7 linked regions of the Coturnix japonica genome follow. The main gene of each other region encodes a partner of the protein of the gene in region 7 in a complex. Links are inferred from orthologs where the notes say so. Each region holds a gene or a part of one and is shown on either strand. Other genes may lie near its edges. The genes, in order: GEMIN4, SF3B5, LSM5, PRPF8, RBMX2, CWC15 and SNRPD1.

Evidence for each region.
Region 1: SNRPD1 (region 7) and GEMIN4 share a complex: the UniProt entries of both Homo sapiens proteins name them as parts of the SMN-Sm complex. The link is inferred for Coturnix japonica from reciprocal best matches to the Homo sapiens genes SNRPD1 and GEMIN4.
Region 2: SNRPD1 (region 7) and SF3B5 share a complex: the UniProt entries of both Homo sapiens proteins name them as parts of the minor spliceosome. The link is inferred for Coturnix japonica from reciprocal best matches to the Homo sapiens genes SNRPD1 and SF3B5.
Region 3: SNRPD1 (region 7) and LSM5 share a complex: the UniProt entries of both Homo sapiens proteins name them as parts of the U4/U6-U5 tri-snRNP complex. The link is inferred for Coturnix japonica from reciprocal best matches to the Homo sapiens genes SNRPD1 and LSM5.
Region 4: SNRPD1 (region 7) and PRPF8 share a complex: the UniProt entries of both Homo sapiens proteins name them as parts of the U4/U6-U5 tri-snRNP complex. The link is inferred for Coturnix japonica from reciprocal best matches to the Homo sapiens genes SNRPD1 and PRPF8.
Region 5: SNRPD1 (region 7) and RBMX2 share a complex: the UniProt entries of both Homo sapiens proteins name them as parts of the minor spliceosome. The link is inferred for Coturnix japonica from reciprocal best matches to the Homo sapiens genes SNRPD1 and RBMX2.
Region 6: SNRPD1 (region 7) and CWC15 share a complex: the UniProt entries of both Homo sapiens proteins name them as parts of the minor spliceosome. The link is inferred for Coturnix japonica from reciprocal best matches to the Homo sapiens genes SNRPD1 and CWC15.

What each region holds. Positions count from the first base shown.
Region 1 is NC_029534.1:5,681,792-5,685,977, forward strand, and holds the start of GEMIN4 (gem-associated protein 4), read left to right. Parts: upstream 1-1,386; 5' UTR 1,387-1,399; coding exon 1,400-4,186. Other genes in the region: GLOD4 (glyoxalase domain-containing protein 4), read left to right, coding at 199-312, 393-479, 742-807. UniProt on the Homo sapiens protein: The SMN complex catalyzes the assembly of small nuclear ribonucleoproteins (snRNPs), the building blocks of the spliceosome, and thereby plays an important role in the splicing of cellular pre-mRNAs.
Region 2 is NC_029518.1:41,251,704-41,254,137, forward strand, and holds SF3B5 (splicing factor 3B subunit 5), read right to left. Parts: upstream 1,037-2,434; 5' UTR 984-1,036; coding exon 723-983; 3' UTR 501-722; downstream 1-500. UniProt on the Homo sapiens protein: Component of the 17S U2 SnRNP complex of the spliceosome, a large ribonucleoprotein complex that removes introns from transcribed pre-mRNAs.
Region 3 is NC_029517.1:78,884,415-78,888,507, forward strand, and holds the start of LSM5 (U6 snRNA-associated Sm-like protein LSm5), read left to right. Parts: upstream 1-1,293; 5' UTR 1,294-1,383; coding exon 1,384-1,429; intron 1,430-1,716; coding exon 1,717-1,812; intron 1,813-2,248; coding exon 2,249-2,276; intron 2,277-2,638; coding exon 2,639-2,711; intron 2,712-4,093. Other genes in the region: late secretory pathway protein AVL9 homolog, read right to left, coding at 488-580. UniProt on the Homo sapiens protein: Plays a role in pre-mRNA splicing as component of the U4/U6-U5 tri-snRNP complex that is involved in spliceosome assembly, and as component of the precatalytic spliceosome (spliceosome B complex).
Region 4 is NC_029534.1:4,156,542-4,160,760, reverse strand, and holds the start of PRPF8 (pre-mRNA-processing-splicing factor 8), read left to right. Parts: upstream 1-1,419; 5' UTR 1,420-1,538; intron 1,539-2,127; 5' UTR 2,128-2,137; coding exon 2,138-2,237; intron 2,238-2,316; coding exon 2,317-2,485; intron 2,486-3,066; coding exon 3,067-3,231; intron 3,232-3,332; coding exon 3,333-3,551; intron 3,552-4,131; coding exon 4,132-4,219. UniProt on the Homo sapiens protein: Plays a role in pre-mRNA splicing as core component of precatalytic, catalytic and postcatalytic spliceosomal complexes, both of the predominant U2-type spliceosome and the minor U12-type spliceosome.
Region 5 is NC_029519.1:1,522,345-1,526,417, forward strand, and holds RBMX2 (RNA-binding motif protein, X-linked 2), read right to left. Parts: upstream 2,801-4,073; 5' UTR 2,752-2,800; coding exon 2,747-2,751; intron 2,665-2,746; coding exon 2,549-2,664; intron 2,401-2,548; coding exon 2,349-2,400; intron 2,271-2,348; coding exon 2,141-2,270; intron 2,019-2,140; coding exon 1,838-2,018; intron 1,424-1,837; coding exon 978-1,423; 3' UTR 470-977; downstream 1-469. Other genes in the region: SLC25A14 (brain mitochondrial carrier protein 1), read right to left, coding at 97-160; RAB33A (ras-related protein Rab-33A), read right to left, coding at 2,879-3,334. UniProt on the Homo sapiens protein: Involved in pre-mRNA splicing as component of the activated spliceosome. As a component of the minor spliceosome, involved in the splicing of U12-type introns in pre-mRNAs.
Region 6 is NC_029516.1:165,900,184-165,904,367, forward strand, and holds the start of CWC15 (spliceosome-associated protein CWC15 homolog), read left to right. Parts: upstream 1-1,384; 5' UTR 1,385-1,407; intron 1,408-1,441; exon of another isoform or gene 1,442-1,553; intron 1,554-2,748; 5' UTR 2,749-2,756; coding exon 2,757-2,887; intron 2,888-4,184. UniProt on the Homo sapiens protein: Involved in pre-mRNA splicing as component of the spliceosome. Component of the PRP19-CDC5L complex that forms an integral part of the spliceosome and is required for activating pre-mRNA splicing.
Region 7 is NC_029517.1:39,382,146-39,386,363, forward strand, and holds the start of SNRPD1 (small nuclear ribonucleoprotein Sm D1), read right to left. Parts: upstream 2,801-4,218; 5' UTR 2,624-2,800; coding exon 2,610-2,623; intron 2,058-2,609; coding exon 1,981-2,057; intron 892-1,980; coding exon 700-891; intron 1-699. UniProt on the Homo sapiens protein: Plays a role in pre-mRNA splicing as a core component of the spliceosomal U1, U2, U4 and U5 small nuclear ribonucleoproteins (snRNPs), the building blocks of the spliceosome.

The sequences.
Region 1 (4,186 bases), on a different chromosome or scaffold from region 7:
AGTACTAGGAGATACCTGTCTGCTATCAGCCAAATCTCTCAGAGATGATCAAAGTAACGCTGATCAGATCCTTAGTTTACATTTCTCACAGTGGGAATGCAATGAAGTTGCAGATAGCAGGAAACTATAAATGAGAACAGCCTGAATATGCCCTGGCTTCACCTGACTGAGGCTGATGTTATTTGTTTTCTCTTTAAGTTGCCAAACATTGAAGCACTGATGAAAAAGGAGAACCAGAAGATTTTAACGCCTCTGGTTAGCTTGGACACACCTGGCAAAGCTACAGTGCAAGTGGTCATTTTGGCTGATCCTGTGAGTAGCATCAGAAACAGTAATAAAATCAATGTCTCTTTCCTGTTTATCTGCCTGACCTGCTGTTGAATTGGGTTTAGGATGGCCATGAAATCTGTTTTGTGGGAGATGAAGCATTTCGAGATCTGTCCAAGGTGGATCCCAATGGTGGCAAACTGTTGGATGATGTAAGTAATGATCTGTCTTTTGTTTTCATCCTGATCACAGCCGCCCATGGAATCAAATATTCTTTGCAGCAGAGCAGCTTTCAGTGCCTGTTTTCATTACTAATATACAAGAAACAGTTTCTTCATCAGGCTGGCTTTCCCCCTGGATTATAGAGCCTGATAATCAGCCTGTTGTTGTGGGGCAGGGTGGTGAAAGTGGGCAGCTCAGTGTTTGGAATGGCAGCTGAGTCAGCCAAACATGCTCCTATTTTCCTTTGTTCAGGCCATGGCAGCTGACAAGAGCGACACGTGGTTTGCTGCCCGGAATATGAAGAAGGTGTCTGCATAGCTGGAGGAGGAGCTGGGCTGGCAGGTCATCATGCCTTGGTTTTCATCTGAGCTGTGCTGTCCATCCCATGGGAGGGCTCAGTCACGTCCCATGCTGTTCTGTTGGTTCCTTTTCAGCTTGTATCTCTTTCATTTCAAGCTCCTCTTTATTTTCAATCAAATATCAGGTGCAACTTCAGACGTGAGTGTAAAGCAGGGAGGATGTTGGGCACGTGGCTTCCAACGCTGGAGCTGCAGGTGAATGCCTCCTAGTGCGGTTGCACTTGAAGGAGAAGTTGCCAGGTTGATTAAAGTATCCAGATCTGTCATGAATGAGCTGTAGCCGTCCTGACTGCAGCGCAGGGCTGAGATTGGTGTGGTAGCAGCAGCTGCAGTGCCCGGTGCTGTCGGTCAGGCTGCTCGTTATTGATCTCTTGATGAAAAGCAGCAGCATTAGCAATGCCTGCAATGAATAGTCTAAATGGGAACAGTTCTCGACGTGCCGGTGTTGCTTTGGCGTTGATGCAGTCAATGAGTCGGGGTCGGATCAGTGCTGACGGTGATGCCGTTGTTGGAAATGAGCCTTGATGTGAATAAATTTTTATGTGAATTTTATGCAATTTTATGTGAATTTTATGCAATTTTATGTGAATAGAAGCACCGCGCGGCTGTGTGCGCAGCGTCCTTCCAGCCGGGGGCAGACACCTCCGCTCCGCCAGGGGGCGCTGTGGGATCGCGGCGGCCGCCTGCTCTGCCGGAGCGGAGCGCGGGCTGCGTTGTCTGCTCCGTTGGCCGCCATGGAGCCGGGCAGCGGGGAGCGGGTCGGGCCGTGGGGCGTGTGCGAGGAGACCGCCATCCTGCACGGCGGCTTCCTGCTGGCCTCCAGGCTCCTGCAGCCGCGGCCGTTGAGGGAGCTGCTCAAAGCCGAATGGCCGCTCGTCGGGCCGCCCATCACCGACGCGCTGAGGGAGATCGGGGCCCGCTGCCCTTCACCGCGGCAGCACGGGCTGTGGAAGAAGGAGGCCGTGGCCATCGTGTGGGCCAAGGTGCTTCTGCCCGCCCCGCCCGCCGCCTCCCTGGACCAGGAGTGGAAGGAAGACGCCTTTTTCTCCGTGGGAGCGATGATCCCCGACGTGAACCGCACCGTTCTCTTCGAGCTGGTGAAGGCCCTGGGCGCTCCCCGGCTCTTCGTGCAGTTACTGCTGGCGCTGCCCCCCGACGTGAGCCGGGCTGAGCTGCGGCACCTGGTGCAATATGTCAGCCACGAGACGGCCCCGTCGGATGTCACATTGCTCATGGATGTGTGGTGGGAGGCGCTGAGACAACAGCCGGATCCGGAGGACAGCACGGTGGCTGCATTCGGCTCCCTGGTGCGTGAGCACGGCTGTGAGTGCGCTCTGGATGACGGCTTGCAGCCCCCAAAGAGGTTCAAGGGGGACCCCAGCTCTCTGAATGGCCCTCCTGCTGCAGACAGCCTGCTTGGGGTCCTCATAGAGGGGTTAAAGCAAAGCTACGGCAGCATCACCTCACCCCGCATGAAGTGCTACGCCCTGGGCAACCTGGTGGAGCTGCTGTCTGTGTTCACCGAGCTGAAGCCACAGGGCAGCCCCCTCCCTGTTGCAGAGTACCTGGCCAAGGTCAGCTCAGTGGTCGGCCTCTGGAGCAGTGACACTGAAAGCCAGCACCACCACAGCGAGCTGGATGAGAAAGTGAAGGAAGCTGAGAGGACCATGAGCTTCTCATCCATGGCCAAGCTGTCGCATGAAGAACTCATAGCTGGCTTGGACTTTCTTCACAGCTTGTTGTGTGCCTGGGGAGAGGAGCTGCGGGGTGTCCTGAACAGCTCAGAGAATCAATGCTATGAGAGCTACTGGCTCCTTGATACTCTTTCCACCTTCAGGAAGATCCTGGTTCGCTTCTCTGAGACTGGAGACCTGAGTGAGGATGAGATGCGTGTTGCATTACAACTGGCACAGACAGTTGATGGCTTTCTCACAGAGATCAGCACCACCCAGAAGAACAAGGATTTGGACACCAGCCTTGAATCCTCAGTTGCCATGATAATCATTGAGCAAAAGCTGCACCGGCACATGGAAGTGTGCTCCATTTTTGCTTCTGAAAAGACCTGGGCCTTTTCAAAGGGCTGGGTTGACTGCCTTGTGAAAAACAAGGTTCTTTTCCAGAAACCAGAGCTGGTTTGGAAATTGCTGGAGACTCTGGTGAACTTTGCCACATCCTGTGAAGGCCGTGAGGCCCGGGAGATGCAGATGCAAATGATCAAAGCCATTGTGGAGTGTTACAGTGAGCTTCCATTAACAGACAAAAACAAAGTGATCTCGGGTGTCCTGGAGGCTTGGGGTGGGCCAGGGCTCTCCCTGAACTTGCAGGTTGTCATGGATGGGTTCCAGGAGGACCTCAATGTGACTTTCAACCAGATCACTAAAAGCTTATCTGATGAAGGCATTACCAGGGCTGTGGCTGCTGTGGCTAGGCTTGCTCTGCTGCACCCTGAGGCCACTGTGAAGCAGATTTGTAGTCTTGCTGTAGTCAACCTAGGAGCACATCAGTTCCTGGCGCAAATCCTCTGCTCTTTCCCAGCTCTGAGCTTCCTGGAGACTCATGATGGTCCAGGCAGCCTGGTGGTACGGTGCCTGAAGGAGGCAGCATGGGAAAAGCTTTCCTCTGCAAGGGAGGAGGAACAGTTTCTTGAGTTTTTGGCCTTTCTCCTGCAGCCAAGTTCAGCTGCCCCACTCGTATCACCTGCAGAAGTGACCAAAGCTTTTGTCCTTCCCTATTTGAAATCAGACTGTGCTCAAATTGAGCTGAGCCTGCAGATCCTCAGTAAAGTTTTGGGAATACGGTCCTACCCAGAAGAGCACTGGATCAAGTCCTGCCACCCGTTCCCACTTCTCCTCAGCCTCTGCAAGCTTCTAGATGGCTACACAAAGTACTGGCATCAGCCTAAGGACCAGCTCTTCCCATCCCTGGAGATCAAAGACCTGGTGCTGAGTGTCCTCAGCCAGCTCTGTGAGGTCGTGACTCCAGAAACTGCCTCCTCCCCAGAGGTTTGGGTCCAGTCTCTGGCCTGGCTTCACAGGAAGGTGGCATCGCTGGACTGGACCATTGGTCTCCGACTGAAGAAGTTTTATGGAGACCACTTCAAGAATGAGGTCCCAGCGACGCTATTTGAGATCTGCACATTCCCTGAAGATGAATGGACATCCCAGCCTTTGCCAGCCTACGGGCCGGGCAGTGGACTGCTGGCATGGATGGAGTGCTGCTGTGTGTCCACTGAGCTCAGAGAGACGATGCTCTCACTCCTCATGGTCAACGTGGACAACCCCGAGGAAGTGAATCTCTTCAGCAAAGGCTTCCTGGTGGCCCTCATACAGGTCCTCCCT
Region 2 (2,434 bases), on a different chromosome or scaffold from region 7:
TCATATAATAGAGATGGCCTGGAGGAAGGAGGCGTTCAGCTCTGCCCATGTGCCTTACACTTGTTGCTCACATTGTTTACAATGGCTTGCAAACAGCACTAGTCCCCACATATGTAGCAGGTTACATTTGATTCAGGATCATTTCATCTTTGCCCTCATTGTAGTACATGCAACAACAAAATCTATTCCTGAGTTCTTCAGATGGATATTATGGCTTGAATGTGACCTCAGGAGTGCATGCACTTGTTCTTACTGCAGCATCTTCAGCAGCTTAGATTATAAGGCTTGGTAAAGAGTATGAGGCGTTTATTGCTCAGAAATTCTGAGGTCACCAACTTCAAAAAAGCCACTGGTAAACTCACATACAACCTTAGCCAGGCTTTACTTTGACATTTTCCATTAGGAATAAAACTTCCCCCAAACATCCAACCTAAATCTTCCCTCTTTTAACTTAAAACCATTTCCCCGTGTCCTGCTATTGTTGATTACCACACAACACGTTAGAAACAGACAGCGGATTTTATTTCCCATTAAAAAAAAACCACAAAGGGCGAACAGCCGTGCAACTGAGCGTAACGAAAGTGTCCAAGAGAGGGCGTTACACAGAGCTTCCTTCTCCCTGCAGCTCCCTTCGGTGGACACGAGGATCGGGGCGGCTCCCACCATCTCCCCGCGGCGTGTGGAGTCACAGCCAGCCCGGAGCCGGTGTGCAGGGCAACGGGTTAGGATTCGTCGGGCTTGTCGGCGGGCGGCCCGCACGGCTGCAGCATCTTCTCCATCAGGTTGAAGCGGACGCGAGCCTTGCTCTCATTCTCGGCGATGGCGAAGTAGTTGAGCAGGTCGAAGTGGCCCATGTAGGAGCAGTACGAGTCGCGGTGCTGGTTGACCAGCCACTCCCACTTGGTGGTATCGGCGTGGCCCGTCCCGATGTACTTGGACTGGAGGTGCTCCAACTGGCTGTGGATGGTGTAGCGGTCCGTCATGGCGCTGCCCCTGCAAGTCAAATGGCGGCAGGAAATGACGCCACAGGACGAAGGGATCCTTTTCCGCTCCCATAACGGAGAGCGGGGGGGATTTCGCCGACTATCCCGGATGAGGGGGGGGGGGGGGAAGAATATGCGGGTTTATAAAGGCATGTCGGGGGGTGTAGTCCTAGATTGGACATGTTGGACCATGGAGGTGTCCAAGAGCCAATTGAACGTGGCACTGAGGGACATAGTGATACAGCAGGGATGGGCTGATGGATGGACTTGACCTTAGTGGTCTTTTCCAACCTTAATGATTCTGTGGGCAAAGGCAAACTTTGCAGCTGGGCAGGCACAAGGGCTATGTTTAAGCTAGGATCAAATGTTACCATTGGAAATTATTTTTCTTTTGTTGATGTGGGTAATATTTCATGTGGATATTAAACTCATGAGCAGATAGAAAACTTATAATTAGTATCACCTATCAAACTTGGTCAACGTTGGGACTGAAATACATTCTATGATTCATCAAATAAGTAGTCTTTCTTGATCATAGAATAATCAGATATAAAACTTGTAAATTATAATTTGTATCACCTATCAAACTTGGTCAAAGTTGGGAATGAAATACATTCTATTATTCATCAAATAAGCAGTTTTTCTTCTCTAGTTTTAAAATCCATGTTAAATTTAATAAGTGTGGAACAATACATGCTGTCACATGGGAGTGCTGACTTTAATTATTTGCTTTTAAATAGGAAAGACACGTAGCCAGCAATTTTCTGAGAGGATGCTTCAAGCTATTTCTTTGTAAATGCTGTATAGTCCAAAGAAACCCACGGAAATCTAATCCAGATGATTCAAGGCCGCTTCTTCATAAATGAGCATCTTATGAAGCCAAGGCCATGCAAAGCAGTGTCAAAACAATAAAACAATATAATACCCTAAACTATCTATCTTCTAAGCAACAATCAGTCAAAGCCGAGTTTGAAACTGTCTGGAATTCAGGAGCCGGTCGAGAGTGAAGTGGCCGCTGGGTGTCAGAGCTGTACCGACTCCGTACTCATTGCACGGGAGCTGTGGGTTTCTGCTGCAAGATCAAAAGGAACAGAGTAGATGAGGCAGATGCACCAATAGAGGGTGGTAGTGACTGTCCCCTTCAAGGTATAGCCGTGTTTTCACGTTTCCTGTAGGCTCTTTGAATGAAAAAGACATAGCTGCCCCTCCAAAAAGGGGAAAGGATTACTTTAAACGATAACTGCAATAAAAGCCCACACAGGTGATGAAATGAAGGGTGTCATTTATATATATATATATACATATATATATATTTAAGAAATTCCTCTATTCTTAACCATATTCATTTATTCTGCAAGTACAATAGTGCAAAAAAATTGTTGGAAGTTGTGGTAGCCTAAAATGAATGAAGATCTCTTGTGAGAGAAATTAAATAAGGACAATAAATTAAC
Region 3 (4,093 bases), about 40 Mb from region 7:
CAGTTTCCTCAGGTTTCTAGATACTGCCCAGTCACAGAACGTGGAATGACTGCAGGAGTTTAAATGCCAGATGTAATTCTTGATGTAAGACTTGAAGAAAAGAGTTTGAATACCAGTCGTTTGATTGGATCAAATGGCATTTTATATACTCAGTCTCAAATAAATAAATAAATAAATCATTCCTGCAACAGCCTCGCCAAGATTTAGTTAGAGAGCAAAGGAGGAAACGCAACGAGAGCACAGAATACCTACGAAACACAGCGGGCCTTGAAGACACACTGAGCGCCGGTAACGCACAGCTGTTGGGTGGCCCCGTCCCCTCCAGACAGCCCCGCGGAACCGCTCCAGCCCGACCCCGGGCCCCCCACAGCCCGCACCGGCGGGGGATCGCAGCAAGGGGCTCGTAACCGGCCCCCAGCCCGCTGCAGGCAGCGCCCAGCCCAGAACCAGAGGCACGCTCCCGGGGCCCAGCGCTCACACCCCTCACCTGACAGCCCTTCTTATGGTGGAAGCCCACTACCACGATATGCAACACCGGGCCCCGCGGAGGGGCGGCCGGCGGCGCGCCCCGCTTCTCCATGGAGCCCGGCGATGGCCGCTCCGGAGGATACCGCCCAGGCCGGGCTGTCGCTCCGCCTCCTGGTGCCGAAGGCCGAAGGGACGGACCCCAACCGACTGCGCTTCCGCAGAGCCCGGCGAGGGGAGGCGGAGCGGGGCCGCCCTCTTCCCCTTCGCCCTGCCCCCAGCCGCGCTGTGTCCCGGCCCGCCCCGCCCTCCACTCTGTGCTCTGTGCGGTGGGCGCCGAGCGGGAGCGTGCGATGAAACTGATATAGGAAAGTGCTTGGTTTTATTAAAATTAGATACATTAGGGGGCAAAAGATAGGCTATAAGGAACAATCCAGAACTAGCAAGCGAATGATAAGAAGGAAGGGTAGAGCTGCAATCAAGCAGAAGCTCTTAGAAATAAAAGAATCCTGCTGGAATTTTCTTTCTCAGTGTATATCTAATAGATACCAATAAAAACTCAGCCATATATACCAGAGCTGCTCTCAAACTAACGCCTCCTGTTTTATTATGCTGGCCCATGACATCAGAGGTGGATGTTGGTATGGCAGTAGGGGCTACACCTTCCTGCCGTTATATTCCATTATACTTTGTTGCCTTGTGACCGATGGCAGCAGAAGGGCAGTCAGACAGGCTGCCACCTGACATGGCAGTGTGTATAAACAGGAGCGGAACTGAATTCCCATTGCGGTCGGAGCCCAAAGGAGAACACGGCGGTAGAACGAGCGCTCTGCCTGCCGCTACTCAGGGCTGCGTCCCGCCCGCCACAGCCTCTACTTCCTCAGGAGGCGGCAGCCATTGGCCAGCTCTGGCGGCAATATGGCGGCCAACGCGAGCACCAACCCCTCGCAGCTCCTGCCGCTCGGTGGGCAGCGCTGCCGGCGGGTTCTCGCGTGGGCTCGGGCGGGGAGGGAGGGAGGCTGTGACCGGGGTGGGAGAGGCTGCAACAGGGGCTAAATCGGGATCTATGAGCGAGAAACTAAATCGGGATGTAACAAAATTAATTCACCCCTCTTCGTGTTGAGGGAATACGTGCTCCGGGTGTAGCGTTGCTGTTGTTTCCAGTCGGTCGGAGATGATGGAGGGTACCTCTGGGCTGATTGATTTCCTGCAAATACACTAATGCACTTTTGTTGTTTTTAACATCTACAGAGCTTGTGGACAAATGTATAGGTTCTCGCATTCATATCGTGATGAAGAGCGATAAGGAAATTGTTGGAACTCTGCTAGGATTTGATGACTTTGTCAGTATCCTTTGGTGGGTGTTATCTGTGGCCATTAGCTTCATGGGGAAAATCATTTCGTTTATTGTTAAGAACATTAAGCTGTTTGGTATCGGTTTTTTGCTCGTTAGTGGTTTTTGTTTGTTTTTTTATCGCTAAAATCACAGTTTGGTGTAAAATAAATTGCCCATCTCTATACTGCCCTTGTGAGGCCCCCAGCACAGGAAGGATGCAGAGCTGTTGGAGCAGCTGCAGAGGTGGGCTGTGAAGATGATCAAATGCTTCTGTTGCTGGAGGTGTACAAGGCCAGGCTGAATGGGCCCCATGGCAATCTGATCTAGTGGGTGCAGCCTACCAGCAGCAGGGGTTGCTCTGTATTTGGAACTGGGTGGGCTTTACAGTCCCTTCAAGTTCTATGAAAAGAAATCTGGGCCTTATTTTCCTTGAAACTGAGCTTTCAGATATGGTGTTAGAAGATGTTACAGAATTGTAAGTATTATTTTTGTCTCTCATTGCTATTCAGACTTGGGTTTCCTGAGAAAGAATGCGGTATAAGGTCTGTGCTATCACAGATACTTATAAACTGAGCAGTTTTGAATTGTTATTGAAAAAAATGCCAAGTTTTAGAGGGCAAATCTGTGTCTTTATATGCTGAACAAAAAAATACAGCAAATCTGTTTAGTTGCCAGGTAGCTTTCCCTGCCTAGTGGGTCAGTGCATCAAGATGATGTTGCAGTGTTATTTCCAGTAAATGTCATCTTAATATGTGGACTTGCATTGGTGCTGTAATCAGAACTTTATTCATTGTTGATGATTGCATGCTCATATTTTTTTTTCTAATATTGCTTCAGTGAGATCACACCTGAAGGCAGAAGAATCACAAAACTAGACCAGATTTTGCTAAATGGAAATAATATAACAATGGTAAGTCATCACTGTAAATAGTCTGCTTGTGTTTCTTTACCTGTAAATCTGATTGAATTCAACTACTTGAGTAGTTTCTAAGGCATATGGTTTATGAATGATGCTGGGAAAGTGATCTTATTGCTATATTTCATATATTTTATGGTTTAAAATGCATGAAAAGAGGAGCATGGGCATGACTATAGTTTTGGTATATGCTTTTTTGGTTTTCATAAGGTGTGTGAGGGAATCTTTGGACGAGTTTGGTTGACAAAGTGGCTTTTGACTCATGAGTGTCTGTGTAAGTCTGTGGGTTGGGATACATCTGCAGTTCATCCATTATGTATAGGTGTGTTTGCAGCAGCTCAGATACTTATAAGCTTGTTAAGTTACTTGACTATTATTAATCATTATCATGTGATGCCGGATGCTCTGGAAAAAAATAATAAGGTGGAGTTTTGTTGGACTATAACAAATCAGAAGCACTTTCTGGTTGTTACTCGCTGATGTGTATAGATCAGTACTGAAACAATACTGTAGTTAGTTGAGCATCACTAAGTGAATTCTGCATCTTTGTAGATACTTTACCACAAAAGCAGACTCACAGTACATCATTTGCTTTCCTGCACAGATGGGTGCAAAATCTGGACTTCCTGCATAAGGCAGTTCATGATTTTGTTAACAAGACAAGTGGAAGGCTGACTTGAGTCTATCTGTTCTGTGTGAATGGGGAATAATCCCCATATTGCTATCTCACCCTTCTGAGTAAAAGCTATTTTGACTTAATTTCAAAACCTTTTCTTGCTTCGGTTATTGTTCTGCATCTTTAATGCATTGTGCATGTTCTGACTTCTTGTGTGGGTAAAATAATTATTTTATATTATTATTATTTATATTATTTTAACAAAGGAGTTCCTAAAGAACATACATTTTTTTGTCCTTGTTACTCATTCCAAGGTGAATCTTGAAATTCTACAGTTTGTTTTTAAGAGCATTTCAAGAAGCATTTCTTCAACTGATTCTTCTCCAGACCATTGTTATGCTGAGAAGCTTTTTTGCTCTTCCTGACTTTTAGTGATAAGCAAAGCCGCTATATGTATACATGTAAGACCAAACCTTTCTATAGACAGTAGGAAACAAGCCAGCAAAGTATTTTCCTGTGAATAAAAGACTTAAGAGTAAATATAAAAGGAAATATTAAAAAGGTAAACAAAGGTAAAGGGGAAAAAAGATAAAAATCATTTATATTTTCTTAATAATGAACAGCACACTTCCAAAAGAGAAAGACCCAGGGTGCTTTTGAGTCAGATTCAGTAATTTTATGGCACAGTTGTAACATGTGCCCTTAAAAAAGGCGCAGGATCTCCAGTCAGAAGCATGGCTGGGTTTTGCTAAATATGCGT
Region 4 (4,219 bases), on a different chromosome or scaffold from region 7:
GGATGGCTATTTCAGTGTTGCTTGGACTTGTGGCTGTGGATCCTGGGCAGAGGAGGTGCTAGTGGATCAGACACTGGGGGCTCTGCTCTCCAGCACCTATGGATGATGTGGTTGAACAACCAGGAGCTGCTCAGAGAAGCCCTGAAGGCTCTGGCAGCCCTGAGAAGGGAGCAGGGAGAATTGTTTCCCCTTTGCTTTTCTGGACGTGCAAACACTACTGTGTGTTTCTAACCTCTTAGGTGCTGCACCCTGCAGGGTCCTATTGCCTAAGGGACTCTGTTCTACCTCTGGCACTTCCCATGGGACAGCACCAGGCATCTCCAAGGCTTTGCCCTTCAGTCCAGGGCTGGTTAAAGCCAAATCCTGCACCTATAATTCCTCACAGAGGAGACTGTGCCAGGTGAGAGATGAAGGTTTGGACCTGTCCTTATCAGATGCTGCTGGCACTGGACTAGGGACAGTGGGAGCTTCAGTGCCATCCTTGGGGACAGGCTGCTAACTTCAGACAACTGGAACTTTTCTAGTGTTATTTTGTTCCCAGATCTATTAACTCCCTATAAGTGAGTGTGGGAGCACGTGAGCTGCAGGTCAGGATGATGGTGTGTGATAGTTGCTTCCTGTGAATGGGATGTTTCACATGGGTTAGATATGGGCATCTATGAGGAACCAGAAGTCTTGGTGTAACGCTCTCAAGCAGCAGCAGCAGCTCTTACTAACACAGGCTTTCAATAAACAGCAAACAAATCAGCTCAAGGCTTTAAAGGGAAAGGACTTTTTACACCCAATTTGCTTTTGAAGGCTGTGGAGCTGCTGGGGGTGCCTCTATCAGCAGCTCTGTGCCCACACAGCCACTGCTGCTCAAGGCTGCCATTGTCACCACGTTCCTGCTGTCACACCATTGCCACACACTGGGGACGTTGTTCTGAGCCCTAAGGGATGTCTCACAGTGCTGGCTCCATACAGCCTGCTGTATAGGAACACATTGTGGGTATGGCTTGTGTGTCCAAACTGAAGGATACAGGGCCCAGCTTTGGGATGGGAACCTGTGGGGACAGAGATGGGGCCTCTCTCTCTCTCTCACAAGGGATACCCATGTACAAAGGGGAGGCTGCCTGAGGAAACCCCCATACAGCCATATCTGCCCCTTAGGGCCCATAGCTGGGACAGCCATATCTGCCCCTTAGGCCTCTTAGGCCCCATAGCTACGGTATCTGATTGTCCAATCAGAGCCGGCGTCGAGCTGTCACCGCTATCCCTCTCCACCAATCAAAATCGGCAGAGGGCGGGACCGGAAATGAATAGGCATTCAACCGGTAGTGTACTCTAAACACAGCTTCCTTTCCTCTTCCGCACTTGATCCCGCCTCCTGCCCTCCCCGCGCTCTGATTGGCTATCCCCGCTGTCTGTGAGGCTGCCCCGAAAGCTGATTGGACGAGCCTTCTAGCCGCGCACCCCACCCACATCCGGGTCTCTCAGGCGCGGTGGTGGTGGGCTGCGCCGCCATTGTGGTGCGGGAGTGCGGGACGTCGCAGCGACCGGTGTGTGCGGGGGGGGCCGGGCCGCGGGGATGTGGAAGGGACCGGGAGGGGGGAGGAGGGAGCCGTGATCCCGGTTTGAGCCCCTTGTTCCTCAAATCTCTATGGAGATTTTGGGCAGGGTCCAGAGGAGGGACAGGAAGATGATCAGGGGGCTGGAGCACCTCCCCTATGAGGACAGGCTGAGGGAGTTGGGTTTGTTCAGCCTGGAGAAGAGAAGGTTGCGGGGTGACCTCATTGCAGCCTTTCAATACCTGAAGGGAACCTGTAACCAGGAGGGGAGTAAACTCTTGGAAAGGGCTGACAGTAGCAGGACACGGGGAAATGGTTTGAAGTTAAAAGAGGGAAGATTTAGGTTGGATGTCAGGGGGAAGTTCTTCACTAGGAGAGTGGTGAGGCCCTGGAACAGGCTGCACAGGGAGGTTGTGGATGCCCCGTCCTTGGAGGTGTTCAAGGCCAGGTTGGACGGGGCCATGGGCAACCTGATCTAGTAAAGGTGTATGTTTGGTGGCCCTGCCAGGCAGGGGGTTGGAACTACATGATCCTTGAGGTCCCTTCCAACCCGGGTCATTCTGTGATTCCTCCTCCACAGGTGTGTCGTCATGGCCGCCGTCTTCCCGTACCGCGGCGGCTGCGCGCCGGTACCGACCCCGATGGCCCCGCTACCTGACTACATGTCTGAGGAGAAGCTGCAGGAGAAAGGTGAGTACGGCCTGGATCCATCGCACCGCGCCCAACGGGACCGGCCTCACCTCATCCCGTTACTTCTGTGTCCCCGCAGCCCGCAAGTGGCAGCAGCTGCAGGCCAAGCGCTATGCCGAGAAGAGGAAATTCGGCTTCGTGGACGCTCAGAAGGAGGACATGCCCCCCGAGCACGTCAGGAAGATCATCCGCGATCACGGCGATATGACCAACAGGAAGTTCCGCCACGATAAACGGGTCTATCTGGGGTACGGAGCTCCCCATGAGGAGCGGTGCCTTCAGAATGGGGCTCTGGGGACAGCTGAGCTCAGACAGCAGCATCACAGCACAAGGGTGGCAGTGGGGTGCAGGAGAGGATGAGATGATGAAGTGTTTGCTTGGAGTTCTTAAGGCAAAATATCATTTAGAAGAGGTTTTGGGGGGAGATTGTGACCTAATCAGCCTTTTTTCCCTGTGATTAAAGTGTCGTGTGGGTGTCTCTGTGTTGTTTGTGCTCAGAGAACTGTCTTGTGTAAAGCAGGGTCTGTTGCGTTCATGTAGTTACCCATAAAAACTCATTCGGTGTTTTTTAGTATTATTATTACTGAATGTTTTTAATGCATAGCAATCTCTCTGAAGCCAACCAGTAGGAAAAGCCTTTTGGTAGTGGAATCTGAAGCAGAAGGATAGTTAAGAAGGCTTGTGGGTTCATCACAGAAGGCCTTTATGTGCAGGTTAGCTGAGCAGTTTTATGAGTGGGAGGTATACAGGTAACTGAACTTGCTGCAGACAGGTAATTGTTCTCTGGCGATGCCTTCCAGCTGTAATTTTCCCTGATTTCTGGTTGTAGTGCTTTGAAGTACATGCCTCACGCTGTTCTGAAGCTCTTGGAGAACATGCCTATGCCCTGGGAGCAAATCAGAGATGTTCCAGTCCTGTATCACATCACAGGAGCCATCTCTTTTGTCAATGAGATTCCCTGGGTTATAGAACCAGTGTACATTGCACAATGGGGGTAAGTGCTTTTTACTTAACTCTGGGGGGACACAATGAGTGAATAACCACACATCCACAATAAAGGCAGCATGTAATGTAATGGTCTCTGGTTTCTGCCAGGTCCATGTGGATTATGATGAGGCGAGAGAAGAGGGACAGACGTCACTTCAAGAGAATGAGATTTCCCCCATTTGATGATGAAGAACCTCCTCTGGATTATGCTGATAACATTCTCGATGTGGAGCCTTTGGAAGCAATTCAGCTTGAGCTGGATCCGGAGGAAGATGCCCCAGTACTGGACTGGTTCTACGACCACCAGCCACTGAAAGACAACAGGAAGTATGTGCCTGCCTGGTAACACAATTCACTGTGGGGCTTTAAGAAAATAAGCACTAAAATCTTCATGCACTACATAAATTAAATGTATGTAAAAGTGCATAACTTTTGCTTATATAATATTGGTCTATGCATGGTGTTGGTGGGATGAGAAAACCTTCTTTCAAGGATAGGAGGGAGAATCTGACTGCTGTAGTCATCCCTCTGTCTTCAGTGCTGAGGGAAGGCAATCAATCCCTCTCTGTCCAGGCAGGTTACTGCATGGGTAACTGGTAAAACTGATGTTTCTTGACACATGATAAGAGTGAAAACCTGGATCATCTAGCTTTTATTTGAGTTTATTAAATATACAGTGCGTTTACAAACTGGAGGCTCTTGAATCTTGTCAGTTTGATAATGGAGATGGAGGGGAACTGGCAGATGTAGTCCATGGAGATCTTCAACAAGCCTGTACATTTTATTTTTCTGCCTGGAGAGGGACAAGAGTTATCTATCCTTCGTATTTTCTGCAAATAGCAGAAAGGTAGAAGACCAGTTGTTTTGTGGCTGCAAAATTAGTGTCCTATGCTTTGTTTCTCTGCAGGTATGTGAATGGTTCTACCTACCAGCGCTGGCAGTTCACTCTGCCTATGATGTCCACGCTGTATCGACTGGCTAATCAGCTGCTCACT
Region 5 (4,073 bases), on a different chromosome or scaffold from region 7:
ACCCGCCGGTACCCGCCGATACCCGCCGATACCCGCCGGTACCCGCCGGTACCCGCCGATACCCGCCGGTACCCGCCGGTACCCGCCGCAGCTCACCGAACTCGGCCACGATGGAGGCGAGCCCGCCGTACACGAAGGGTTTCCAGTTCAGCGCGGACATGGCATGGCGGGGCGCGCCGCCGCGCCGGGCCGGACACTGCCTCAACTCCACCCGGAACCGGAAGCGCGGCGGAACGGGAAGCACTGCGCCCCCCAGCCGGGCGGACCCGGCAGCTCGGCCCGCAATTGGGATCCAGCGGCACCGCCCGAGAACGGCGGGGAGGAGACGGGAGAGCGCTGCAGGCACGGGACCGACCGGAACCACCCCGAGAGCAAAGCGCAGCTCAGATCCACTGCTGTGCGCTCCCCATTTCTGTGTCAGCTGCCATCAATGCTCAGTCCAAACAGCACAACCGGACACAAGCAGTGCTCCCAGTCATCTCCTCTGGTTAAAGGATCGATTTTTATTAAAAGGAGTTTAAAACAAAAAACGCCATGAACTGCGATGGCTCAGCAGCCTCTGATATCCATCACATAAACAAAGGAAGCAGGACGGGCTGGGGGCACAAAGCACCGTGCCCGCCTGCAAGCACCCACCGCCCCACTGCAGACAGGGACGCTCCCCCTGAACAACGTGGGCAGTTTCGGTGTCCGTATCCTGCTGCTCAGCACCCCACTGCCCACACTGTGCCGTGAGCCCCTCCACAACCGTCTGAGTGATGCCACTGCACAGAAGGGCCGAGCAAGGCAGCAGCAGAGCCCACATCACAGCCCACAGCACTGAGAGCAACCTGTCTGAGGAGTGAACCGGTCAGAGTGGTGTGTGTGAGACGAGACACAGCTGTGGTACCCTTAGGGCCATAGCAGGAGGCTTCAGACAGGCTCCCGGTGCAGCTCACAGAGCACAGCTGTGGCCCAGAAGGTGCTCACTCCAGGGCTCAGTGACGGCTGGAATCTCTGGTGGATCCACGCTCCCTGTGCTTGGAATGGGGCTCTCTGCTGCTGCTCTCCCGCCGGTGCCTGGATCTGCTTCCCTCAGAACACTCTTCTCGCCAGCTGCTGTGTCCCTCACCCTTCCTGCTGACCTCTCCTCTCTCTTCCCGTGAGCTGTTCTGCCCTCTGTGTTCCTGGGAGCTCTTTTCCCCTCTCCTCCCCGACGACCTTTGGTGTCTCTGCTCTTCCTCATCTCGCTGCGTCCTGCTCACGTGTTTCCTCTCAGACTCACTGCAGGACTGCTGACCCCCACCAGCAGCATATCGCTCGTAGCCAGGATCTTCCTTCTCCTTTTTAATCTTGATTCTCGGATGTGCCTCTTCGGCAGGTGCTGCTCTCTTTGCAGCCTGAGAGCTCTGCTTTTGCCGTTCATGTTTATTCTTCTCTTTATCTGAAACAAAAAGGTCATCCTTAGAGATGGACAGTCCTGCAAGCATCATCCCCACCAGTTCTGCTACAGAGCACCAGAGCTCTGTAGAGAAAGGCTTTATTGGAGCCTTTCTTCTCCCTGTCCCCCACTGTCCTGCCCCCTCCCCCTTGCAACATCCCTGCAGCCCAGCCCAACTCCTTTTCTCCAGGAAGAGTGCCACTATAACCTGCAAAATAAGGATCTCCAGAGGCAGGGGGTGAATGATCATAGATAAATACTGGCAGTGTGACGCAGATCACAGAGGATAAGCCTGGACATTCGGGTTGCATCTGTTTTCAAGAGGATCCCTATCCCTGCTGTACGCTGAGCTAAGAGTCCCTGTAGCCCACACAGATCCTCCCACCCAGGGCAAAGATGGGCAGAAATGCATTTCACCTTTTTGCTTTTGGGCTGGCGTGTCTTCATCCTCCAAGGAGGAATCTGACGACGTATGAGGTGGTGTTTTCACTCCGCAGCCCTTTGCATGGAGGGCTTTTGTGACATCATCTAAATCATCGGAGTCCTTGGGAGTCCGGTAGTTGGCCACGTGGTCCACTCGGATCGTCCTGCCTTTGATCTAGGACAGGAGTCAGGTAGTCAGCAAAGCGTGTGCTGTGGGGCCAGCAGCCGATGGAGCTTCTCTCTGATGTGCTCTGAGCGCTCCAGGAGCTGCTGCAGCCACACAGCTCCATCACTCACCTTGATCCCATTGAAGTTATCAACAGCAAGCACGGTGCTCCTCTGATCCTCATAGCACAAAAAGCAAAACCCTTTGGACTTCCCAGTCTTCTTATCCCGCACCAGATTAATGTTCACCACCTCCCCGTACCTGGAACACACCATCAGCAGCCACAGAGCAGGGCTGGAGGGGCACAGCAAGATGGGGATGGAGCAGGTAGGAACTTACTGCGAGAACACACAGATGACGTCCCCCTCTGTCAGCTGGTAGGGCAGCCCGCCTGCGGGGGGAGACAGGGCAGCGATGGAGGCCCAGCACGGAGCCCAGCACGGAGCCCAGCATGGAGCCCAGCACGGAGCCCAGCACAGGGCCTACCACAGCCCTGCTCTCTCCTCCCTCCCCGTCCCCCCATCGCGGCCTACACGTACCGATGAAGACCCACGCGCTGTCCTTGTACTCGGCGTGCCACGACACCGCCTCGCTCACGCCCAGCTCCGCCTCCCGCGCGTTCAGCTCGTTGATCAGCTTCACTTTGGTCAGCGGGCTGGGGGCGATGCACTCCGTTAGCACCGTTAGCACCGGCCGGTCGCACACCCCCCCCTCACCCAGCCCCCATCCAAACCTACTTCATGGCGGCGGCGGCGCGCACTGCGCATGCGCCCCCCTTACCCCCCCGCCTCCGCCCCCGCCCCGGCCGCGCATGCGCGCCAAGCAAAGCAACGAGTCCGAGGGCTCCGCACAGCTTTATTGGTCGGCGCTCAGCACGGACACGCGCTTTTACCGTGGGCGTCACGTGACGGCTCTAGCTTCTGCGCCCGGCCCGGCCGCTTCTCCATGTCGCGATAGAGCAGCGACTTCTGCGCCTTGAGCCGGCAGGCCAGGCACATGAAGATGGACTCCACGTTCTGGCTCTCTTTAGGGTCCTTGGCCGAGGTTTCGAACAACAGCATGTTGTGAGCGTCGGCGAATTTGAGAGCCATGCCGGACGGCACCTGGATCAGGTCCTTCAAGTCACACTTGTTCCCCACCAGCACTTTGGGGACCAGGGGGGACACGGCGTGAACGTTGCACTCCTCGATCCACATCTTGAGGTTGGTGAAGGACGCCATCTTGGTGACGTCGTACACGAAGACCACGGCGTGCACGTTGCGGTAGTAGTGCTCCACCATGCTCTTCCGGAACCGCTCCTGCCCGGCCGTGTCCCACACCTGCACCTATGGGGCACAACACGGCGTGAGCAGCCATTGCTGCTGCAGGATGCTGTGCTGCTGCTCTGCTCATTGCTGTGCTACAGGGGTGAAAGGCCCCAGCCCGGTGACTTACCTGCCCCATGTTGGTGTACCCAGCCATCATCCCTGTCAAACTGCACACAGCACTGCTCGTGTCAGAACAGACTAACACACCAACCCACCTAATGCTGTGCTGTATGAGGACACTGAAATGATGCTCTGTATCCACAAAGGAGGCAGGGCAAAGAGAGCGGCGTTCCTGCATGGAGCTCTGTCTGGGGGAGGAACCAGGCAAACAATAAGGATTAAAGAGCCGAGAGCCATGGAGACAGGGCAGTGTGCAGCTCCAGCCTGATCAGGGAGAGTAAATGGAAGGTGCCCTCTGCAGACAGATGGGAGTCTCATGTTTGCAGGCTTAGGCCCTTCTGGAGGCCTTCAGCCATTCCAGTGTATGCTGGAGGGGCAACACAGCACAGCTTAAAGCGTGAGATTCCAACTTCAAAACTCAAGTGATAGAAGAGCCAGCGAGGGAAGCTGCTACGCTGGGCCAGCTTCAGCAGGGCAGCTGTGAAGGTAAAGCCAACTCATTAACCAAGAGGTGGCTCTGAAAGAGTCCTGTGGGTCAAGGACCTATAGGAAAATGGGACCAAAGAAAGCTACCCAATACTGATGTGCCTCCACCTCTGAGCTGCCCATGTGAACAAAGAGGAAGTCAAGCAAAAAT
Region 6 (4,184 bases), on a different chromosome or scaffold from region 7:
ATCACATGGCTAAAATTAATTGCTCTGTCAGAGCTCAAAGAAACCATTTGACTCTGCAGAAACAATAATTCATCCTCAGGGACGAGCTTGTGATAGAGAGCGGCAGAACTGTGTGCTCCTCAGTGCCACCCATGCCCCCAGCACCCTCCTCCCTCCCTTGCTGAGTGCCTTTCAGCTGACATCATGTTGTGGGTGGGGAACTGCTCCAGCACAGCCCCACGGGCAGCAGCTCCCCCAGCCCTCCTGCCCCACTGTAGGCTCCTCTCCACAGGCTGCACCCTGGCCTGGGGCTGCTCCGCCTCCAGGACTCTTCCACTGCTGCACAGTGGGCTCCTCCATGTCTGCATACGGAGATCACAGAATCACAGAATGACCCGGGTTGGAAGGGACCTCAAGGATCATGTAGTTCCAACCCCCTGCCTGGCAGGGCCACCAAACATACACCTTTACTAGATCAGGTTGCCCAGGGCCCTGTCCAACCTGGTCTTGAACACCTCCAAGGACGGGGCATCCACAACCTCCCTGGGCAGCCTGTTCCAGGGCCTAACCACTCTCCTGAGTGAAGAACTTCCCCCTGGTATGATAGAGTGCGAGTGCGCGTTGAGGATGCCTAAAATATCTTTCCCTCTTTTTAATCTCTAAAACATGTCCCCCTTAGTCCTGCTATTATCAGCCCTTTCGAAGAGTTTACTCCCGTCCTGGGAGTAAGTTCCCTTCAGGTATTGAAAGGCTGCAATGAGGTCACCCCACAACCTTCTCTTCTCCAGGCTGAACAAGCCCAACTCCCTCAGCCTGTCCTCATAGGGGAGGTGCTCCAGTCCCCTGATCATCTTCGTTTCCCTCCTCTCGACCCTTTCCAAAATCTCCATGTCTTTTTTGTACTGAGGGCTCCACACCTGGACACAGTATGAGAGATGCGAGATGTGCCTGTGGGCTGCAGGGGGATGGCTCGTTCCCCTGTGAGCCTCTCCTGGGTGCTTAGGAAGGGCCTAGTTCAGGTTCTGTGCTTATTTTTGCAGGGAATTCTTGCTGACTCGTGGATTTTTCTCTGTTGAGAATAGTCACAAGGTCTCTTCCTCATTGCAAAGCCATTGGCAGCCATCAGGAAGCAAAGGCAGACAGTGGAGCAGGAGCTGTGACTGAGCACAAACAGCCAAAGAACCAGCGGGGTGGGAGGCAGCCGGGAGGAGCTGGGATGACTCTGTAAGCACACAGAAAAGCAGCAGCACAAGGGTTCTATGGCAGCACAGCAGGGTGTGTGTACTGCTCACAGTCATACACGACTTTAAAGCACAGCTCACACGCAGTGCTGCTGTACCTCAGGGCGGACAGCAGGTGCCACTCAGGCACCAACAGCGTCTATTTCCACTTCATTATCGAACATGGCGGACTCAATTCCGCACTGAGGTAACAAGTTTTTCCGCCTTCCATCTCTATGGTAGTTCCTCCTTCCGCCGCTCCGCTCTGTGGTGGCTGCGCGGCGCCTTGTGGGTAGAGGGCGGGATGATGGCGGTGGCGTAGGGCCCGGCTGCTCAGCGGGAGGAGACCCCGAGGTCAGAGAAGGGGGATTGAAGGGATTAAATCGGGGCTTCTGAATGTGGAGGGTCGGCCCTGGGGTGGTGGGCAGCCTGGGGGGACACCGGGAGGGAGGTTGAGGCCGTGGGGCGGCCTGGACGGGCCTGGGAGAGCGCCGATGGAGGCGGCTCAGCCGAGCCGGCGTTGTGCGGCACTGACGGGGCTGCTCCAATGCTGCGCTGATGGAACCTGATCGGAGCAAACCCCTGGTTGCCCCCAGCAGCTCAGGCTGCACAGGGCTCATCCAACCTGGCCTTGAGCAGGGATGGGGCACACAGCTCTATGGGCAGCTGTGCCAGGGCCTCACCACCTTTTGTATGTCTCTTATTTAAGTCCTTAGGCTGTGCTTATGGATGTGTGTAGTTTCGTTTAACAGACTGAAGATGGCACTGATGGGTCATCCAGGGTGGTTGGTTGGTTTGATTCTTTTGTTTTGTTTGTTTCTTGGTGGACTGCCCTAAACTTTTGGCTCTATGGTTTGGGTCTGCGTGGCCTCCAGCTGCTTTGTGCAGTGCTGAGCACTTCTTGGCATCAGTTATATGGGAGCCATAGTGGTGAGGCTGGTCTCTTTTCAGTAGTGTGTTGGGACAGGACTAGGGGTAATGGGATGAAAGTACAGCATAGGAAGTTCTGCACGAATGTGCACAAGAACTTCTTTACAGTGAGGGTGACGGAGCACTGGAACAGGCTGCCCAGGGAGGTGGTGGAGTCTCCTTCTCTGGAGATATTCAGGACCTGCCTGGACGCCTACCTGTGCGACGTGGTGTAGGGAGCCTGCTTTGGCAGGGGGGTTGGACTCGATGATCTCTAGAGGTCCCTTCCAACCCCCACAGTTCTGTGATTTCATTATTAGATCCTGTGTTTTTTTCCAGAGGGGAAAGAATTACTCTTCTACCAAGATATAAGGATAGGAGACTGGCTCCTGGCATTTTATCCACTTCTATAAACATGACCTCACATTCTTGATTGAGTCTCTATCATCTTTCAGGCATGTTGGAAAAGAAGCTGTCAGTAAAAGAAGCTCTTAAGCTTTAAGGCTCATGCACCAGTTGATAATTTGTATTGTGTAGTGGGATTTGCTGTTGCTGCAGCAGTTCCAAGAATGACGTAGCTTCTGGTGAATGGCTTTCACTTTAAGTTATAGTAATGACTGTTTTTTGCCCTTGACTCTAGTAACTAAAATGACGACAGCAGCGAGGCCAACGTTTGAGCCTGCAAGAGGAGGGAGAGGAAAAGGTGAAGGAGACTTAAGTCAGCTATCCAAGCAGTATTCCAGCAGAGACCTTCCCTCTCATACTAAAATCAAATACAGGTAAGTATCGTTATTGTCTGTCTTATAGCAAAGCAGCCTGGAGCTGTTTTGTTGTTTTCTTTCTTTGTGATGTGACCAACACTCTGAATTTCTTTCACGTTAGATATTTGTTTGCTTGACATTAAGCAGACACAGAAGCAGGCTTAGGAGATTGAGTGGGTTGCAACTGATTTGGAAGGTTTAGTTTTAGTGGTGTCAATAACTGCTTGTGGAAGGGAATCAGGAGAAGGTAATCTTTACAGATTAAGCATTTCAGGCAATGGAGTGAAAAGAAAAGCATTGGGAACATACAGAGACAGCTGAGCTAGAAAGGTGGTGTGACTTACAAGATGGGATAGGAGGTATGAAGTTGAGTATGTCATATATTGGCAAAGAACCTGGGGAAGAGCACTAAGAAGAGGCAGGGCAATGTGTAACAGCACTCAGGCATTAGTAAGTATTGGAAGAGCTGATGTTAAACACTAGAAGGGTTCTAGAAGAGCCTGTTGCTTTAACTGGTGTGAAAGATAATGGGATTTTATATGAATACTATCCTGTGTTTGGAATGCTTAATAATTTATGTTCTTTTAAGATAGCATGAAATCTGGAGTCAACATGCCACAGGATTTAACTGAGTTGTGTCAGCCTGAAAATAGTCTTTTTTTCTAGCTTAAACTGTTGCTTGGGTTTTGCTTTCTTAGTGCAGATATTTACCCTTTCACTGCTTCCCTTCCACCCATTTGAATAACTTTGAAGGTAACATGGATACGGGAGGTGGGATGTTCAGAGATCACCAAAAGCAACAGCACAAAATGTGCTATTAAGGGAAAAGTGGCTGGTGGTCTGTCTCTTTAAACAGAGCGGGAGTGTGGAGCACCAGTCTGTTGTTCTGAAATGAGTGTGTGGGAAGAAATACATACAGGAATATACGATGTGTGTGTGGTAACGAATCCCTTTGAGTGAGTGTGTATGTGTGTGTGAAGGGGCATTAAGCATCTTAAGTTCATTCTCCCAAATATCAAATACAAAGTTGTCTTTGCTAATTTGCCAAGGGCTGCATAATTGCAAGAAAGATTTGGTATTTCAGTCCCACTCTCCCGTGCCTCTTTGACAAAAGGCCTGGGGGGGATTTTTGCAGCCATGTCAGGGATTCTGAATTCAAGTTTTTAATTGTAAAAGCAAATGAAATGCTTCAGCATAAAGACAGCTTGTGCACGCAGTGTATTTCTAATGACTGGAGCCTGGGTTTCTTTCAGACACTCTTATTTCCAAACCTGAGTTCACAGCAAGGTGAAAGGAATTGCTGCATGTTGTTATT
Region 7 (4,218 bases):
CCAAATAATTAAGCATAAATTACAGGAGAAATGGCAAGCAGTTGCTTTAGAGCACGATTACCTTTAACTTATTTCTGGAAAGACACACTGATTAACACTGCTGGGCAAAACTTTTACTGCCTGAAGACACAAACTTTGTGGAGTTTACTGGATATTAATTGTTAACGGCGCAGAACAAAACCAGAAGCATTCCCTATTCTGTTAGGCTTTAAGGGCTTTATCCACAGGAACACAGCCTCAGCTCCCTCTGCATTCTGAAGCCCCTTCAATTCGGTTCTCCAGCAGATTGTTTGTATCCACTGCCAAGTGAGATTTCAGTCCAGCACCGCTCCTGAGGCTGCTCTATATTTTCTTATTAGGCTAAATACAAAGTTACACACAGAAACCAGGGAAACAGAGCAGACATTTTGAAAAGAGAAACTGTGCATCCCATTGGTGCTGCCTCTGAGAATGCCATAGGTTAAGATTTACTCACACTTAAAGACGTTTACACTTTAAAACAGATGCATGAGAAGCTGTGTAAATAACTTCTCATGAAAGGAGACTACAGACACAATGAAGGTACACAAGGCAGAGTTCGGTACAAACCCTCAGAGATGAAAGCAATACAGAAATTAAGATTTCCAATCACATGCCTTCAGAGCGAGAGCACGAAAACACAAAGTAAAACAAGCAGAGACTGGGAAATCATGCACTCACCTGCTTCTCTTTTCTTGGACTTGACTTTTGGTTCAACATCTACTAGCAAGGTGTCCAGGGGCAAACTGTCTGGTAGGATGAAGTATCGGATGTTATTCCCCCGAATGCTCAATGTCTCCAGCTGTACAGGCTCCCTGTTCTTCAGCGTCATTTTCACAGCCTTGAGATGAGTATTCATACTGACATCCACTCCTGAAATAACACAAGGCTGATTTCAGGGGTGGGAACACACAGGATGACTCCTCTTTGGCTATTATTAACTGTGCACGTGCTTCAAGACTTTGCTAACACACGCTTCTGGATCTGTGCCATTTGTTAATTAAGCCTCTTAAGTGGAAGAAGAAACTACATCTTTTTTTCCTCTATTAATTATGCTGATTTATCAGCTGCTGCCCTCAACACTGATATATTTCCAAAGGAAGAGCCACTTACCACCAGCTGTAGGGATCTGTTCCTAGGTCTTAAGTCATAGCAACACTAAACACTTAAAATGATTCCTCCGGACAACAAATAAACTGCCACTTACTACAAAAGCATAATATTTGTCTTTTTTACTCCTTTCAAAAGAAAGAAAACGAACTTTTGAGTAGAAAAATAACACTGCGTTTCCTTCTAAGTACAACCATGATCTTCTGATCAAACACATCTAACATCAGCATCAGAAGCACCAACTGCAGGTGGCACCGTGGCTGCAACAGGCTTCGTACACCCATGTACAGGGATGACTGTCATTTTAGAACCATGGATGGCACTGCAGGGTTTTACAGGTTCTTAGCACAGCATGAGAGAGACTTTGCTCAACAGCGAAGGCTGTGAGAGTACAAGGGTAGGAGGCACAGAGTGCTGCCACCACAGCCAGCTTCTAACAAAATGGACGGATCTGGCTGCAAAATAACGTGCTTTTAACCCTTACATCTCAGTAGATTGTAACCATGTTCAGCATTTACCATTTATCTGTGCTACCGTTAGAAAAATATCTCTCTGCCAGTGACTCAGTGGTGACTTCTTGATGCAACTACAGTGTACTGCAGCTTTACCAATGAGATCACAGAACGGTTTAAGTTGGAAGGGACCTTCAAGTTCCAGCCCCAAAATGTTCTGAAACATAAGTGGATAGGCTGTATGACCACTGCCCTTTGATACAGCAGTGACACTGTCTCACAATGCCTGCATGCTGCTGCAGTAATTTCAGATTACCACACTTACACCAGCCACGCCAGCACCGGTTTCCTTTACCCCACACAGCTCAGATCAGCCTGGGAGGCTGCTGGCACACCGTACCTGTGATGGTGCCATGCACCTGCGTCCCGTTCTTCAGCTCGATGGTCACAGTCTCGTGACTCAGCTTCATCAGAAACCTAGGAATTAAGCACAGAGTGTTTGCTGTCACACTAAGCCTTATGTCCAACCACATGCTGATACGGGGAACCGATCGATGTACATCCTAACGCAAACGTTCTCAGCTGCCATGAACTGCACTGAAGGTGCTCCATGGGGCAAAGCCAAAGCCCCAAACGGCGCCCAATTGCCAGGGGCTGGAAACGGTGGCACCGGGCTCAAGCAGCGTCGGGACAACGCTTCCAGTCACAGGGTTTGTGTTTTGAGCGCCCTGCGTGAGTTGGGTTCGGGATCCCTCGTGCATCCCGTCCAACTCGGGCTGCTCTCTGACCACCAGCTAAGCAGCAGCCATTTTGGATCTCGGCACCGCGTGAAGGCGCTTCCACCCGGCTCCGCCCCCAACCCCCCGGGGTGGTTTCCCGGGCAGCCCCGCTCGCAGGCCCAGCCGCTCGCCGCAGAGCCCAGGCCGCAACGAGGCCCCGACAGGCCGGGCGGCCTGTGTGTGGGGAGGGGGAGGCGGCCTGCGCGGGCTCCCCGCCGCCTCTCTCCGCGATCCGCCTCCATCCGCTCACCTGACGAGCTTCATTGCGCCGGCGGGACGGCGCGGCGGCCGCGGGGCTTTCGGCGGGCAGCGGCGGCCGCCCCTGGGGGCACGAAAAGGCCTCGGCGGAAGCGCCGCGAGCGCGGGCGGACAGGAACGCGGCCTCCAACGAGCGCACCGAGCCCCGAGAGATTGAGCGGCCGCCGCCGGCTGCGATCAATGGGCGGAAGCGGCGCGGCGGAAGGGGCGGGACGCAGCGCGACTGCGCGGGGCTGAGGGCGGGCGGGCACTGAGGGGATGCGCTGCCGCCATTTTGGAATGGTGGGCTCGGGATTATACGTATCTAAGCACTGTAGCTGTGTGCAAATAGTCTAGTCCGCACCAGCGATGCTTCTACGTTAAGCAGTTGATAAGGAGCTCAGGCACACAAACGCAGCGGCCAGGATCTAGAAAAATCAGACCTTTTATTATCATTGATGAGTACACTGTTGTGATTTCTGCAATACAGACTCTTTTTGTAAAGCACTGAGATCTGGCTGCCCTCCAGCTCTGAGAACCCACGTTAACCCACGTCTCTCCCTCCATCCCTACACACACACCACAGCTCTTCTTTTCCACATGAAATCTGTTATTTTATGTTTTGCTTTAAACAAACCGCAAAGAACCAAGTTTGAGAGGGCAGCTGCCCGAGAGCCGTAAGAACCATTACATACTGAGTTTATGGTGTTCCTGCACTTTGAGTCTATGACAGAGGTGACACTGGTAAATGAAGTCAGAGAGGAGTTTCCAGTTAACCACCAATTGGTATTCCCAGCACAGCATCGAGAAGCAGACAGAGGCATGGTGAGTACTGATGTTTATGTGCAGGTTATGCTCACATAGAACCAGAAGCCTCCAGCAACATTCAAGGTTAAAATGAACAGATAACTGCAAAAGTCTGTACACAGTTTCAGTCACAACACAGTGAAACACTGGAGTATCAGTGCTTTGTGTTCTAACCTCAGTAACAACAACTGTGCTAGCTCTAAGATTCTACACGTTTCTCCCCCCATTTACATTTTATAACTGCAATCTGAATATACAGCTGTACTTACAGGAAATATTAAACAATGTGCAGCGCCTTAAGCAAGTTTCACGGCTGGTTTTGAACAAACCATATAAAATAAGTGACAAAATAGTTTAAAATTGGTCCTCAAGTAGGATTACTTGTTTTTTATACAGCTTGGAAGCACTAAATTTAAAGACACACATTTATTGTTAACCAGCACATGTTATTTTGTAGCTTTTTAAAGAAAAAAACCTTTCCTTTTAAAGTGTGTTACATCATGCATGAAAAGCAAGAAGCTGCTCCCAAGTGCAACATGGCATTAGGGTGACACCTCCTCCTCTGATCCATACTCCTTTTTTTTGTGAGTTATTCCAACAACATCAAGAACAGAAGCAGCTGACTAGCAAAAACAATACCAAATTCACCTTTGCATTGCAACCATTCTTAAAGTGATGGAGAACTTTGGGCCTTTAGCATAAGGAAGGTTTGATAAACCCTGCAAGGAGTTTTACATTCTTTGATTTCATTTACATCCATTGAAAGAAAAGAAAAAAAAACCCAAACCTGTATTTTCAAGAGCTAACTAATGAAT